Alligator mississippiensis: one gene and its partner. The main gene of each other region encodes a partner of the protein of the gene in region 2 in a complex. Links are inferred from orthologs where the notes say so. Each region holds a gene or a part of one and is shown on either strand. Other genes may lie near its edges.

Region 1 (7,600 bases), on a different chromosome or scaffold from region 2:
AGGTGACCCCATTAAGTACAGTAGCTTCACTCTATTTTAAAACTGCTTATTTGAGATGCAGAGACCAGATAATCAACTGGCATAAATCAGCATAGCTCTACTGACTTATTTGACATCACCTGAGACTTTGGTCACCCCAGGTTCAAACATTCTTAGCAAGAACATAATTTGTTGCTTGAAATACCTGTTCATTTTCTTGTACTGGCTCTTGAGATTGCATGCAGACACTCAAAATCCTGGTCATTTAATAATTAATACATGACAAATCAGTAGTTTCTGTTTTATAACCAGGTTTCTTTTCCCTCTGTGGTCTCTAGGCTCAGAGATCTTAACTAGGAGAGTTATGTAAAGAGAACTATGGGCACATCAACGGTATTTGCATCCAATATGGTATGCTCTGTCTCTTAGTAACAGAACAAAAAGCTAGAAATTCCTTAAACATTATTGTTTTCAAGTTGTGCAAATTATGGATCTTGTGACGGGCTGACTGTCTTCAACCCCTGTACAAGTCAACAGGCCAAATCTTTAACTCAGTTTCTTACTCAGGAAAAACTCCAGTTGCTTCAGAAGTTTGCCTGAGCAAAGGTAGAAAAATTCAGGAGTCTGGGGATTTGGCCCTATGAGACTTGAAGGCACTGTAGTACATGAGAGGCTTAAGCCATATAATTAAGAATGATGTCAACAGGAAATCCCTCAAAGAAATGAATGCAGCCTCACAGCCCTTGCAGCTTGCATTGTCTGCCTGCACCTTTCTCAAGGATACCCGAGTCCTAGTGATCAAAGAAAATTCTCTATAGTTTAATTATGCTTTCAGTGCACCTGCTTATATTATGTGATAATGTCTATGCATGGATAGACATCCATGTGATGATGTGTAGAGAGATGATGTGTAGATACATACAGTTGCACTAGAGAAGGAACTTTAAGTTAAAATGTACTTAGCACAATCCAGTCATTGTCTAGCACATATTTTCCATTTGAACAGCAGCATGAAGTAAACTCTAAAACATATATTCCATTTTTGACCATTAACAGCACTGATGCCTATCATTACACAAAAATAACTTTCCAAGGAGCTCTACCATTCCAAATAATTTAGTCTCAAATTAGTCTTAGCAACCATTTTGAGTGTCAATATGCAATATCAATGTTACAGTGGCTAAGAGAACAAGAGAAATTTTCTCCCTAGGCATCTTTACTGTCACACTCTACAAGTTCAAGTGACATTCGCTGATGGGGCAATACTCCAATACTTTATTATGTTAACTGCCATCTTAAACTTTGATTTCTAGGGAAAATATAAATTTGTGCCTATAGTAATTTTACCAGGTTATTTTCCTGAAAACATCATTTGCACATCATCCTGAAAATGTCCCCCTCACGTAGTCTAAATCCAAGCTTATTAAGAGTAGTACACTACATGAGAGTAAAGAGAACAAAGAATCCACAAGAAAAAAATGTGTTTCTGCTATATTATTTCTATTAACTCTTTGCATCAGGGATTTGTAGTCTGTATCTTGCCTGTTACAAGTATTCCCCAGGTCTTTAAACCTTCCTAAATGCCCAGGGAGGCTACATTTCAGTTCTCAATAAAGCATGCACTTTAATAAAAATGGCCCCCATTGCAGCCAATATAGCAATACTTGTGGATGAAAGATATCGAGATATCAGCTTATGCGTGTGATCTGCATATGCATGCCTTCAAGATGATAATGAGACTCTCTCTTACAGATAAAGCCCCTCCTAGAAAGCGTTTGCACTAAATAGCCAGAATTAAAAATGTGCCAGTCTTCTAATCGGCCCAAAAGGAAGACTGATCAGCAACCTCAGATTTACAAAGGGAAGCTTTCTGATCAGGCTACGGTATCAGGCGTATGGCAATGGACCGTGTTTAATGCCAGCATCCTAAAGGACCACGTTTAATACCAACATCCTAAAGGACGCTCCCAACATTATTAAATGGGAAGCTTCGTGGCAAAACTCTGCCTTGCCCTGTGATCCCAGAGCACTCTGGAAAGCAGAAAAATCCAAAGGGACCTGCTCTTTCTTTCCTTCTCAGGCTAATGCCCACTTCCCTGCAGCTTTCACCTGTTCTCACTCCAAATCCTCTCCTTTCATGAACAAACAGCAGGGAGTGAGAGAGGCAGCCTGGGCTTCCTGAAACTTTTCATTACTGAATCTCGCCTCACACATGCCCCTCCTGAGAGACCGCTTCTTAAGCACCGCAAAAATGAACAGAGAGCAAGAGGGCTCACCCGGAGGAGCTGGGCAAAATGAGAAAGGTCCCCAAAGAGGAGCCTGCCAAGACAAAACTCAGTGGGGAGGATTCCTCCCTAGACCCCCCACCCTCCAACCCAGCAGGACAAGCTGCAGCTCCGCTGGGCAGAGGTGACTCCGCCAGCTGGGCATGCTGAAGCCACCCGCCTGCCCCAGCAGTCCCTGTCCCTGCTGTGTGCCCAGTCGCCTGCCTGGCAAGTGGGGAAGGAGGGCTCTGCTTGGGCAGGGGAGGCGTGCCCCACGCCTGCGGACCCCCAGAGCCAAGCCTGCTCTCCTGCTGGCCCTGGCACCTGTGCTGTATGGCAAGGGGGGAGAAAAATGCCCCCTCCAGCAGGTGCCTGCCCTGTTGAGCCAGGAAGGGAGGTGGGGGATGAGACCTTTATGGGAGTGAAAGGTGGGGGGATCCGGAGGGGAAGCAGGGGGAGGAGAGTCTGAGACCCCGAGGAGAGGCAGGCAGAGGTGGGGGTCTGAGACTCTGCTGGGAAAGCAGGGGGGCGGCCCGAGACCCCGAGGGGATCCGAGACCCTGCTGGGAGGAAAGGAGAGGCAGGAAGAGGTCTGAGGCTCCCAAGGGGAGGGGGTCCGAGACCCCGAGGGGAAGCGGGGGAGGAGCGGGTCCGAGCCCCCTTGCTTCCGCTCTCCCGCCCGCAGGACGGGCAGGGAGCCTCCTGGGCAGCGGCTGCCCAGAGCCAGCAGCAGCGGCTCGGTTTCCCCGGCGCAGCAAAGTTTCCCCGGCGCTTGCCCGGCCCCGGGTCCTACCTGCCCCGGCCACAGCCAGCACGCCCGCTGCCAGCACCACGAGGCGCTCCATCTGCGCGGGCCCCGCGCGCGGCTCGGCAGCTGCCGGGCTCGAACTCGCGGCGCTCCGCCAGGCTGGGCAGAGACGGCGGCGGCGGCTCCACCCGCGGCCAGTCCTGCTCCCCAGGAAGAGTCCATGTGCCTCGCTCGGGGATGCTCGCCCAACCCGGGCCCCCCCCCCCGCTCCCCCTGACGCGTCAGCCCCGGGCCCACGCCCCTGCTCCCCCCCCCCGCGGCCGCGCTCGTTGGGCTGCGCCGAGTGCCGGCTTCAGGCGGCCCTGCCCCCCGCTCCGCTGCCAGTGGATCAGCCCCCCCCAACCAAGCACCTGCACCGAAGCAGAGGGACTGGAGGGCGCTTTGACCATGCCCCTCCCGCCAGGGGGCCGCAGCCTGGACCCCAGGGCTGGGGGAATCGCCTCACCCCTTTGCTAGAGGGAGCAGAGGCTGGGGCAGGGCAGCCTCCCTGGGAATGCCCCTGCCCTCCACTAGGCTGGGTTCCTAGGGGGGTGGCATTGCACCTTGCCCAGCTGACTGAGTGCCGCTTCAGTGGGTTCAGGCTGCACCTGTTACCCACTGAGACCTCAGGACACGGCCGATCCTGCTCCCAGTGTGGCTAGGGGTTTGGCCTCCTCCTCCTCCTCCTCCCAGCCTGTGGAAGGGACTGATAGATTTGCTTCCAGCTCAAGATTAATGGGAAAGAGTGCCCTTTCTCCTTCTGCTGAGCAGGCCTGTGAGGGGGAGGCACAGCTAGCAGGGGGGTGCGTCAGCATGGCTTCCATCTGCTAACCTCTTGTGCTCCTGCTTTTTACTTACCCAGCTTTTTTTATTTTTTGTTAAACACCCACCCCGACTCGGAGCGCTGCACAAGGGCTAAGAGGAACACGCCACTCACAAAATTACAAGCCACCCCCGACAAAATGGCAATCGCCCACCCTTCAGCTGGCCCAGCTCGTGAAGCCAGTTTGAGAAGCCTGCTCTGTCTTTGCTGCGGTTGCTTTTCTTTTTTATTTTCTCTTATTCTTGTCAGTTAAGCATTATCTGGATATCAACATGAGGACCTGCCCTGAATTACGGAGCGGTGAGATTCCTACACTACTCTTGTATTGTGCCCCTCATTCCAAGCGTTTGTCCTCTGTTTACGGGTCAGCAGGTTGTGGGCCTGCAGCCACCCCATTCTGTACAGAACTTAATAGTTGTTTAACAAGGGTCATTTTAGGAAACCCTTCCTCACTGGTGATGTGAGTCTACTTCTGTTTTTGTGAAGAATGATCTTTACTTACCATTCTCTCTATACATGCTTTACGTCAGAAATGTTTGGGAAACTTGGAAAACAGTCCTTGCAATAAATTAGCTGATCTGACATTTGTTAATGGTACAGCAATGGAAAAACAGGGGGGGGATAAAAGAGTCAAAAGACTCCTCTGCCGGCTCTCTATATTCCCATGGTCAAATCACTTGGCTGCTGGTTCTCATGTTTTCAATCCAAACAGTTGGGATGATTCTTTAAAGCTTTGGAAAGTCTGCAGTGAAAAGCACCACCCAGAACAATTACAAAAACAAACCTCTGTTGTCTCTCTAAACCCCATCCAGCATGTCAAAAAATACATTATACCACATAAAATAATGTCACCTACTGCTTCTCACTAATAAAATATGGCTTTAAATTTAGTCCAGAAAACTTGGAACCCAGATCTCGCTCCTGTTTAAATCAGTAGAAATGGGGTCAGACACTGAGAAACAAAATGATTTCTATTTTGGGGGAAAATAAAACTATACTAATTCTCTTTCCACCTCCCGTGAGAGATTTGTCTAGCTTTACAGAACTTCAAGTTGAATCACCATTTCATTGTAAAGCCAGAGGATTTTTTTTCTCCCTAGTGGCCTGATACTGGGCAATGTCATTTCAGATGGATATTTGGTACTCACGTGCCACGTAAGAAAAAGCTCTGTTTGTTCAGGCTTAAACATATAATAAAATTGTTCAACGTTACAACACCGAGGATATATATGAGTACTTTAAGGGTCATTTATATTCATGTACTCTTATTTTGGCAAACAATAAAAGCCTACAAGGGTTGCTTAGTTATTTAGTAAATTATATCAAGTGCAGAACACAGGTGTTCCTGGCTGGAGGCAGTGGATATGCTTAGTGGAATCTATGAGGTCAATGTCCCCAAAATTCTCTGTCATTAATCACCAATGTACTCTGATGATTTTTAGCCATTTCCATTTTTAAAGTCTTAAATATATTTCTTTTTTTTTCCTTAGAGTTTTATTTTGCAAGTGCCATTCTTATCCCAATGGAATGAATAGAGTTAATTGTAGAGCAACACCTTCTGTGGTATTCTGACAACATGGACTAATAGGAATGGGTCTCTTAGATGAAAGGGCAATGCTGTGCTCTGAAGCATGCCTCTGTGTTATGCCATTCACATTTGCTCAGCCACAGAATGACCTGGTGCACTTCCACACAAAGTTGCACTGGGTTTAACTAAAGATGCAGACTTGAGTAGCTTTTGAAAAGCTGGAAATGTTTCACAAAGGTATCTTTTCATATGTGGGATAAAGATACAGCCCCTGTGGCACTCCCAGGCTGGAATGATTAAAAATTGCTGCAGCTGCATGCAGCCACAGCTCTCCAGACATGGGGTGCTACAGGGGACTGTAGAGACCTTCAGTTTGGCTCTCCACACCCCACTCCTACCTGAAATCTTCTAGTCTAAGTCTCTTCTGCCTTATGAGAGGTAGAGGTGATTGGGGCTAGAGAGCCCAGCACCAGCAGGGGGGTCTGAGTACCAAACTGGCAAGGACCAGCAAGTTGGACCCCACAGCTGCACAGTCTGTTAAGTCAGACTGTCCACCCTCCCCTCCCAATGAAGGAGCAGGGGAAAAGCAGAGCACTGTGAGATTCTGAAGGACCAAGAGGTTCCCTGTCCCCATACTCATGTAATAAGAAAGGAAACGCTGCAAAATAGCACCTCATTTGAAGCGGTAATATTTTGGAGCACTTCAGCTGCTTTTGGAACATTGCAAAAGCAAGTACTCTTGTACAGGTAGCTCTTTAAAGTGTTTCAAAGACATTTTAATTGTTTCTTCATGCTGCACCATGAAGGTTTTCTTTTAAACTGATTAAATTAAACCAGTGCAAACCCAGAGTGGTCCCACATAAATCAACTAAGCTTCGCTTATCCTGAGTTATCAAAAATTGATTCCTTGTCAGCTTAAGCTAAATTAAAAATAACCAAAGATTAAAAAAAATACATAAGATAATGAATACAGAAGTTTGTACTGACTTAGGCAAATCAATTTAAAAGCATGCCTTTACCTAAATCCTGTGCAACTTTGGGGGGTAGACCAGCTTGAAACAATTCTGGGGCCATGTGGCTATTTAGAGTAGAAACCTCAAAGGAAAACATAGACGCTGCAGGATGTAATGGAGGTATTTCAGTAAGTAACATTCTAACCAGAGTCAATCCTATAGATAAGGGTACTACCAATATAGTCATACATGATAAAAGCCCTTTGCTGGTAACTCACAGAGGCAGCACATTGCAGGGAGAAAAGAAAAAAGATTTCTGTATTTTTTGCTAGGAACCAAATAGAAGAAGTGAATAGAGGGTTAGAGAAACTGGCACCTCCTAAGGCCATTCTCACACTTCCTCTAATATTATATGACTGGTAACAAATGCTTCCCCTGTATTAGTACAGAACTTAGTCCCAACATGATTATGGCAGAAATGCATGTTGCCAGAGGGTGTAAGGTTCAGATGACTTAAAACTGAAGTCCCGAACATTTGTAGCAATTAGAAGTTTGACAGCACTTTTGTAAGAGTAGCGCGTTAATAATTCCAGCCAGCTTAGCTGGATTTCAGCTCTCATAATATTTTACTTTGCAAAAATTCCTCCTGAAGTTCTAGTTGAAGCTGTGTATTTCTTCACTTCCTGACCTGAATAATTGTGATGTTGCTGACCATGTGTTGTTAAATTGCTAATCCTTTCTGCCACAGAGTTTGTGGCATTTGAAAGGCTGATAAAACATTTCCTTTATACTCCTTAATACTTCAGGGAGGTGTATGAAACAATTTGTGTTCCCTGGATGGCAGGTGATTAAATGTCCAAAGCACTATTGTTAGTGTCATGAGAAAAAATTCACATCTCAATTTTTACCTAAACTACTTGCATGCAGCATTTAGAATTGAATACATGAGCTCCAGTATGAAAACAGAGGGTGTCTACCACTTGATAGCATGCAAAGTTTTTTAGTTGCAGTAGTACCCTTTGTAGTCATGCCACAGTCTGGAAAGTTTAGGTCACGATCATATGAGCAGATGTGACTTTGCATCCAGTAGAGGGCAGCAGTGTACAAAATACTTATCCATAGTAGCAGGAGAAGTATTGATGCAGGGGCCGGCAAAATGTGACCTGCAGGCCAGATGCGGCCCACTAGACCATTCCATCTGGCCCATGGGGCCCCTAAAAAATTTAGAAAATTAATATTTATCTGCCCCTAGCTGCCTGTCATGCAG
Region 2 (7,075 bases):
CCAGTGACTGCTCCCACCATGAGCAATCTGGAGCAAAGTACCTGAAGAAGTGGGGAGGAAGGTGCCTCTGTGCTGGGTGAGAATCCACCTCTCCAGCCATTCCATGTGGCTGAGCCTCCTACTGCAGCCTGCGCACTGGCTGTCTGTGGCACGGGGGCCTCCCTTGCCACAAATATCAGACCTGTTTTTAAAAGTCCACCACAATAAACCATAACACCAAAGTCACCCAGCTGACTGGCCTCTGACTCCACCATCCCCACCCCAAGCCCCACCCCTACTCTGCCCTGGCTCAGTGTGCTGTGGTCCCAGGCACACATGTAAATACTGCACCTGAGAGCAATAAAGTCCGGCATGGACTGTGCCGGAGTATATTGCTTTGCATTCATTTCACATGTAGATTCACCCACAGGGACGCAAATCTCAGACAAAACAACTGCAATTATACTGATCATATTGAGCATATATGATTTTCTAAATATGGTACAACTAGAGCAACAAACCAAGCAAGATTGTACTACAAGTTCTACTGTTGTTAGAGGTGGATGATTTGCTTAGACAGAGATTTATTTGCTGGAAAATGCAGCTAGAGAACACATTAAACAACTCATCAAGTTAGGCAATTTTTTCAGCCAAAAAAATGGGATTTTCTTTGGAAGAGTCAAAACATTTTGTTTCAAATATGTTGAAAAGATGTGTTTTGTATGGTCATGTAGGAATGAAGATTTGAGACAAAATTTAGCTAATTTGAATTTTAGAAGATTGAAGAGTAAAAGGAAGATTAAAGAGTAAAAGGAAAATGCTTTAAAATTGAATTAAATATTTCATTGTACGTTATTATTTCCCCACTGAACAGAAAAATCAATTACCAACATAGCTCTGCCTGTTTACACTGAGGTTCAGGCATCATCTCACAGAGATGTCCAGCAAAGCCTCATTATGCTAAATCACATCATGCTAACACACCCACTTCTTTGAAATGAAGATGAGGGACTTGTATTAACACAAACCTGTCCTGCAGAAGCTGCAGGGCTGTCAGCTGGGAAGAAAGCCCCTGGAGAGGTCTGGGTGGCAGGTTGGGATCCTGGGATTAGTCCAGTGGTTGGGTGTTACTACTTTTGACAACATAAATGTCAACATCATTATCGCACAGCTTCAGCCTTTACACTGCATAGAAATGAACGTGGCTGCTCTCACGTCTTAGATCTACAATCAGGCTGCATGCAGATCCAGGGGGAAAACACTGCATTACTTTAACCTGGTTCCCATTATGTAAGGTTTTCTTCATTATCAGGTCCCACATCCCAACCCCAAGATGGCATAAATCAGGGTATGTCATAATAGGCAATGTTTGCTGATTTGATCTTAACTGCCCTTTTTTTTAGAGAGAAATTAAATACTCAGGATCCGAACACCAGTTTTGTGGCAAGATGTGGAATTGAGCATAACACCAATGTGTGCAGAATGTGCTGCCTGGACTACAATACTGAGAGCCAACACTGGGACCGGACCAGCAGTACACACAGCAGGAACTGGGGACGGGCAGACGACGTGTGGCCACTCCCTACGTACTAAGCACTTTCACGGAGCAGCCTGCGCAGTGAAGGAGGCTATGTGTAACAGAGAGGAACTGCTCCTGGACATTCAGCTGCTCTTTTTGCTGCACTTACACAAGGCTCCTCAGTACCTTTTTCCTCCTAAGGATTTGTGGGCGTTGGGGCTATCTCCTCTTCTGTGGATCTCTCCCCTGCTGTAGCTCAGAAGTCATGTTTAAAATGACACAGACCAACATACATGGAAATTCTTGCTGGTCTGTCAGATCTACGTGTCCGGCCCTGTCTTAACCTAGTGTGACACAACTGACATAACTGTTAATAACACTCAGGTGGTATTTCCTCCTTGGTACTTTCATGATTCACAAGCTGGGCCCTTCTGCCTTCCCTTGTGAGAAGCACCAATGCAAACTGTCAGCTTGTGATAAGGGAGTGATACATCCCTCAACCCCTCCCAAGCTTAATTCATTCCAGTCAATGAATAAAACCCTGGCAGAGGTGGAATCTGCAGTTGTGAGTGCAGCATTTCAGCACTAGGTGTCACTTTCAAAGTGAGAGTGCCCCATGGTGTCACCACAGGGCTGGGCACGGACCCTTTGGAGTTCACAGCCAGGACCTGGTGACCTGAAAGAGCTTCTAGGAAGCTCAAAGCATTTCCCAGGCTCCCTCCAACCTTCGGGGTCACGGGGAGCACGGGGTCTACAGAGGATGCACCAAGGGGGAAGAGGAAGAGGGAGGGGGGCTTGGCACCAAACTCCTGGGGGCTCGTTGTGAACAAGACTTGCAGAATCCAGCCTGGCTCAGGTCTAGAAGGCAGCAGAGCAAGACACTGACCATGGCAGGAGAGGAGGGGTAGAAACACGGGTGACCCAGAAGACCTTAGCTGCTCCTTGGAGCCCTACTGGGATGGTCCAAAGCCTGCCACTATGCGGAGGGATGCGGGGCGGGCTCCGGAGCAGGCCTGGCACCGCACGACTTCCACTTTGTCTTTAAAACAATGGGGTGAGACAACTCGCGGGAGAGGAGAGCACAGGTGCCAGGGGTGGCACTTGCTGTGGGTCTGAGGGCTCAGGGGCCGCGCTCGCAGACGTAGCCCTGGTCACCGCAGCCGCGGGTCCTGGCCCGGCCGGCTCTTCCCGCCCCCGGCCCGTCCCTGCCCCGCCTGGGAGAGGAGCCCCGTCCGCGGCCGCGGGGAGCAGTCCTGCCATGGCCGGGCACGCCGGAGCGGAGCCCGCGCTTCCCGGGGCAGGTAGCGGGCACCAAGTCGCGCCGCAAGTGGCCCCGAGGCTGCGAAACTACCCGGGGCTGCAAGCCTGGGCCGGCCGGACTCCGCCGTCGGGACCCGCGGGCACTGCCCGAGGCGGGGGGCTCGGCCGCCCCGCACCGCCCCGCCCCGGCGCCAGCGACCCGGGGCAGCGCGGGCGGCCCGCCTACCGTTGAAGCCGGGCAGCGAGCCCAGGTCGAGCGCTGCCAGCGTGGAGTTGAGGCCGAGCAGCAGGTCGGAGGAGTTGGAGCCCTCGGCCGCGATGGAGTCGGCGAACAGGTTCATCTGCAGCAGGGTCTTGAGCAGGTAGCGCAGCATGGCGATGGCGGCGGCGGCACGGGGAGGGAGGGCGGCCGCAGTCCGCTCCGCTCCGCGCCGCGCCGCCCGCGCTCTGCCTGCTCCAGCGCGTCTGCCGGCGGCGCCGCCCCGTCCCTCCTCCCGGCCCGGCCCGGCGCGGCGCAGCGCGGCGCTCCCGCGGGAGGCGGGCAGGAAGGCAGGTGCCAGCTCCAATAAATGTTTAATTATCCGATGAATAACCCGGCCCGGCCGGGAGGGGGGAGCCCCGCAGCGCTGCCTGCGCACCGCGCGCTCGCCCGCCCCGGAGGGGTCTCGAGCCCCGCAGTGCCGGGATGGCCGCGGTGCCCCCGAGCTCCTCCTGCGGGCGCCGCCACGGGCGTCCCCAGCCCGGGTCCAGCCACAGCAACGTGGTCCCGGCGTCCCCGCATGAGGACACTGCCCTGCTTCATGTGCCTGAGCCCCAGGACCTTCGTCTGCGCAGCGGGGAGGCCAGGCAAGGTGTGAGTTGTGGCACCAGGGCACATTGCAGTCACCTCTGCCACTGGCCGCTGCCCTCCCCCAATTCAGTGACAGCTCTGAAACACCCTAAACTTATCTTCTTCGGCACCTGCTGCTTTGCACTCCCACATTGGCATCGAGAAAATAACACACAGCATTGCATTGCCCTCTGACACCTACACCCACCGTGGGCATGGTCACAGCCATAAAGCCATGCATAGACACGGCTGGAGCCAGACAGCTACCTGCGGATACAGTCGCAGCAGCCATTAATAGAGCACTTCAGCTGATCACCAATACCTGTGTGCTGGAACTTAAACACCTGCTCATGACAAGGACCAGCAAGAGAACAGTCCTTTTGCAGGCTAAAATCAGAACCAGGCAACAATCAGGCCATTTGTATTGTGACCGTCGTGAGGCGTGTGTGCCACGTAGGCCCCTGAGTTCTGAGAATTCAATAATGCTGCAGAAGGAAGGAAGGAAAGAAAGGCAGTAGGAAAATGTGCTAGTGCGAGTGATTCCACTGGATCCTAGTCACTGTCAAATGCCTGATTGCCTCAACGGCAGTGGGGTTTCTCACAGCCTCATCGGCAGTGACTGTGAGAATGCCTCATCACCAGCCTTGATGGAAAAAAGTCTCCTGGTACATCCAAGCTCTTGCAGTATCTCAGGGTGGATCAGTACAGCAGCCCAAAAGCAAAGGTGAGCACTCATAACAACATTATATAAGCTCACCAACTCAAAACGGGGAGCTAGTGCCTCAACCATCCAAACCACTGTTCTAGCTCTGAGTTTCTCCTCTGCCGAGGATACATGCCCTGTATGGGAGAGATTCATACATGCACCTTGATCAGAATGCCTTGACCCCATTCTGAATGATAGCTGCCAGCACATCACCGGATGTCTGAAGCCTACCAGCCTACCAGGGAACAGACTGAAGTCCGGAAGAGCAGTGGCTGGTAGGACAGAACAACTGAGGCAAACTGAAGATGTGAGACACCTGCTGTATGAGTGTCCCACAGCACACAAACATCTGAAGTCATGCAGGAGCTTCCTCACCAGCACTCAACCTCTTGATGCCACACCCAAGGAGACACAACTATGGATGTGGAAAAAGAGGAGGAAGAAAATACCTGACAGCAAAAAAATGGATGTTCCAGTGGCTGAATCCTTACCACCTAACAAACCATGGCAAAGGTAACAATGTCTCAACCACCTATCAGATGTTCCAAGGAACTAATGAAAAGCAGGGCTATGCCACTGGTTCAACCACCTGTGACTGCAGCACAGAGCCTCAGACTACGCAACATCTGCTGCAATGCCTACTGCTCAAATGCACATGTACAATGACAGATCTTGCAAAGTACAGTAAATGAGCACAAGCACGCGTAAATGGTCAAATGTGGTGTAGAGACAGGAGAAGTAGTAGTACAGCAGACACTGGCTCCTTCCTCTGTGGTCCATTCAAAAGACTGTCACCAAAACAAACCATTCCTTTTCCCCATCCTCCCCTTGAGCCTCATCACTGGCTGTCACTGTCCAGCCATAGCAGGTTCAAGCAGCATGTCCTCCATGTTGAGCTTGCTCCTCCACCCTATCTTGCTTCATTCCCACTTCTGGCTGTTTTGCAATGCCTCATGCTGGGAACAGTCAGCTACCCCCCATATGCTTGCACCCACCCACATTCTTCTAAGTCAGGGGTAGGCAGTTATTTTTGGCTGGAGGGCCACTTAATGAGTTAAGTGGCTGCTCTCAGGTGCCTGTAGGTGACTGCTCATTGTACCAGGTGAACAGAGCTGGAGCTCCACACGCTGGGACAGGAGCTGCCAGGAGCCTCCCCCATGCCCAGAGCTGCACAGCAGGAAGAGGAGCCACTGGAGGTGGGGAGAGCTGCACAGCATCCAGGCAGATGCACTGGGAGCGACCCCATGGGGAAGCTGTGCACACTGGCCTGGCCAGGTCTGGGGCAGGCAGGTGTGGTGGGAGTGTGGCACGGGCTGCCCCAGGCAGGGCTCAGCCCCATGCAGAGTGCTGCATGGGTAGCCACAGGCCAGATCCAATCTATTAGCAGGCCAGAACCAGCCTGTGGGCTGTATTTTGCCCACTCCTGCTCTAAGTCCGTTTTTGCGGAGCATTTCTGCTGCCAGGGGGCAGTGTCCTCCTGTCTTGTCTTGTATCATTTTGGAGTTCAGCTCTAAGTGCATCAGATTCTCCTTTCACCTCCACTTTGCACACTATGAATGAGTTACACTGGTGTCAGTGAGGGGCCATTCCAGACCCTTGGTTTAATCCTGTTTTGTAAAGACACGCTGCTATTCTGCAGTACTATGAGAATGTTAACCCACTGCTAAGAAGGCTATTGCTGTTTCTCGCTGCCACAGGAGAGCCTCTCCTTCCCTTCCATAGTAATGAAGGAGATGTTGAATACCGGCAAACTAAACAAGTTGATAGAACCTGGTCTATGTCCATCATCAAGGTGTTCCACCTGCTAAACAAGGTAATATTTTCCTGCACACTAGAGTAATTTCTTCTCCTTCAGGAGTAACATAAAACAAACCCTCCTTTCCCTTCACAGCATATTAATAATAGTCCCAACCAGGCAAATGCCATCCCTTTGCCGTGTTATGAAGCTTCAAGCTTAAAAAGAGGATGCAGATTAATATGCACTAGCTGTGTCTTCCAGGCAGAGTGTAGTCTTGCTTGTCCTCACAAGATCTGGTGTTTTCCTTAAAGTCTCCTGAGTCAGAAGAGTATGATGGAAGCGCCTCTCTCATTTAAAAGAAATAGTAAAATTATAGCTCTCCTGATTGCCAGAAGAAACCTGTAAAATGTGATCCTCAGAGGCTCAAATGCAAGAGGCAAATAAAAAGAGCACCAAATTATTTGCTTTCTTCTTAAAAAAAAACACCTCATGATTTTTAAGCCAGTTTTATGATTGTGGGGGTCTTGACACATGATTTTGGAATGCTTGTGGGAGGCAAGATGGAGAATTGGACACTTCAAGACAACCTTTGAAGCTAAGGCTATTAGCATTGTACTACTGGGAGACAAAAGAATGGGGATCATTAGGAGTGACCCCTTAAGTTGCATATCAAGCATTATGATTAGGAAAAAATGAGATTGGAAAGCAATCTTCACCTGCCCACATGTGACCATTTCTAATTCAACACAGATTCCCATTAAAATGCATTCCAGACCAAAAAATACTGTTAAAACTTGAACCTACTATGTATTCTTTGTAAATCACTGGCATGTTTGTATTTAATGTGTAGTAATCAGGTTAGTAATAAATCTCTTTATGCTTTTCCCAGATGTTTAAAGTGACTCTGCATCCTAACAGCTTCATTACTCAGTTTGAATCTTAATGATTTCTCAGTACTGGAATTTCCAATGGTACATGTGTTCCCAGAAAAAAAACCCGATTAAGATGGAGTTAAGGCAGGAAGTTCATTTCAGGTATCTGAGT

What was found. Proteins that work in one complex are often made in the same cells at the same time.
Region 1: the proteins of ROBO3 (region 2) and NELL1 are in contact, whole or in part, in a crystal structure (PDB 6POL), measured with the Homo sapiens proteins. The link is inferred for Alligator mississippiensis from reciprocal best matches to the Homo sapiens genes ROBO3 and NELL1. Residues at the interface, in NP_071765.2 of Homo sapiens: Ser553, Pro555, Val590, Glu592, Phe594, Pro596, Asn600, Thr601, Trp602, Thr604, Ile624, Leu626, Arg630, Gly633, Ala634, Trp635, Gly636, Leu637, Ser638, Glu639, Pro646, Val647, Arg648; in NP_006148.2 of Homo sapiens: Ala440, Lys441, Met442, His443, Tyr444, His446, Tyr458, Arg468, Val469, Asp470, Asp471, Phe472, Ser473, Asp478, Ile492, Cys493, Thr494, Asn495, Thr503, Cys504, Lys505, Pro506.

Annotation. Positions count from the first base shown.
Region 1 is NC_081825.1:212,992,879-213,000,478, forward strand, and holds the start of NELL1 (protein kinase C-binding protein NELL1), read right to left. Parts: upstream 3,212-7,600; 5' UTR 3,088-3,211; coding exon 3,036-3,087; intron 1-3,035. UniProt on the Homo sapiens protein: Plays a role in the control of cell growth and differentiation. Promotes osteoblast cell differentiation and terminal mineralization.
Region 2 is NC_081839.1:20,587,242-20,594,316, forward strand, and holds the start of ROBO3 (roundabout homolog 3), read right to left. Parts: upstream 3,205-7,075; 5' UTR 3,133-3,204; coding exon 2,985-3,132; intron 1-2,984. UniProt on the Homo sapiens protein: Receptor involved in axon guidance during development. Acts as a multifunctional regulator of pathfinding that simultaneously mediates NELL2 repulsion, inhibits SLIT repulsion, and facilitates Netrin-1/NTN1 attraction.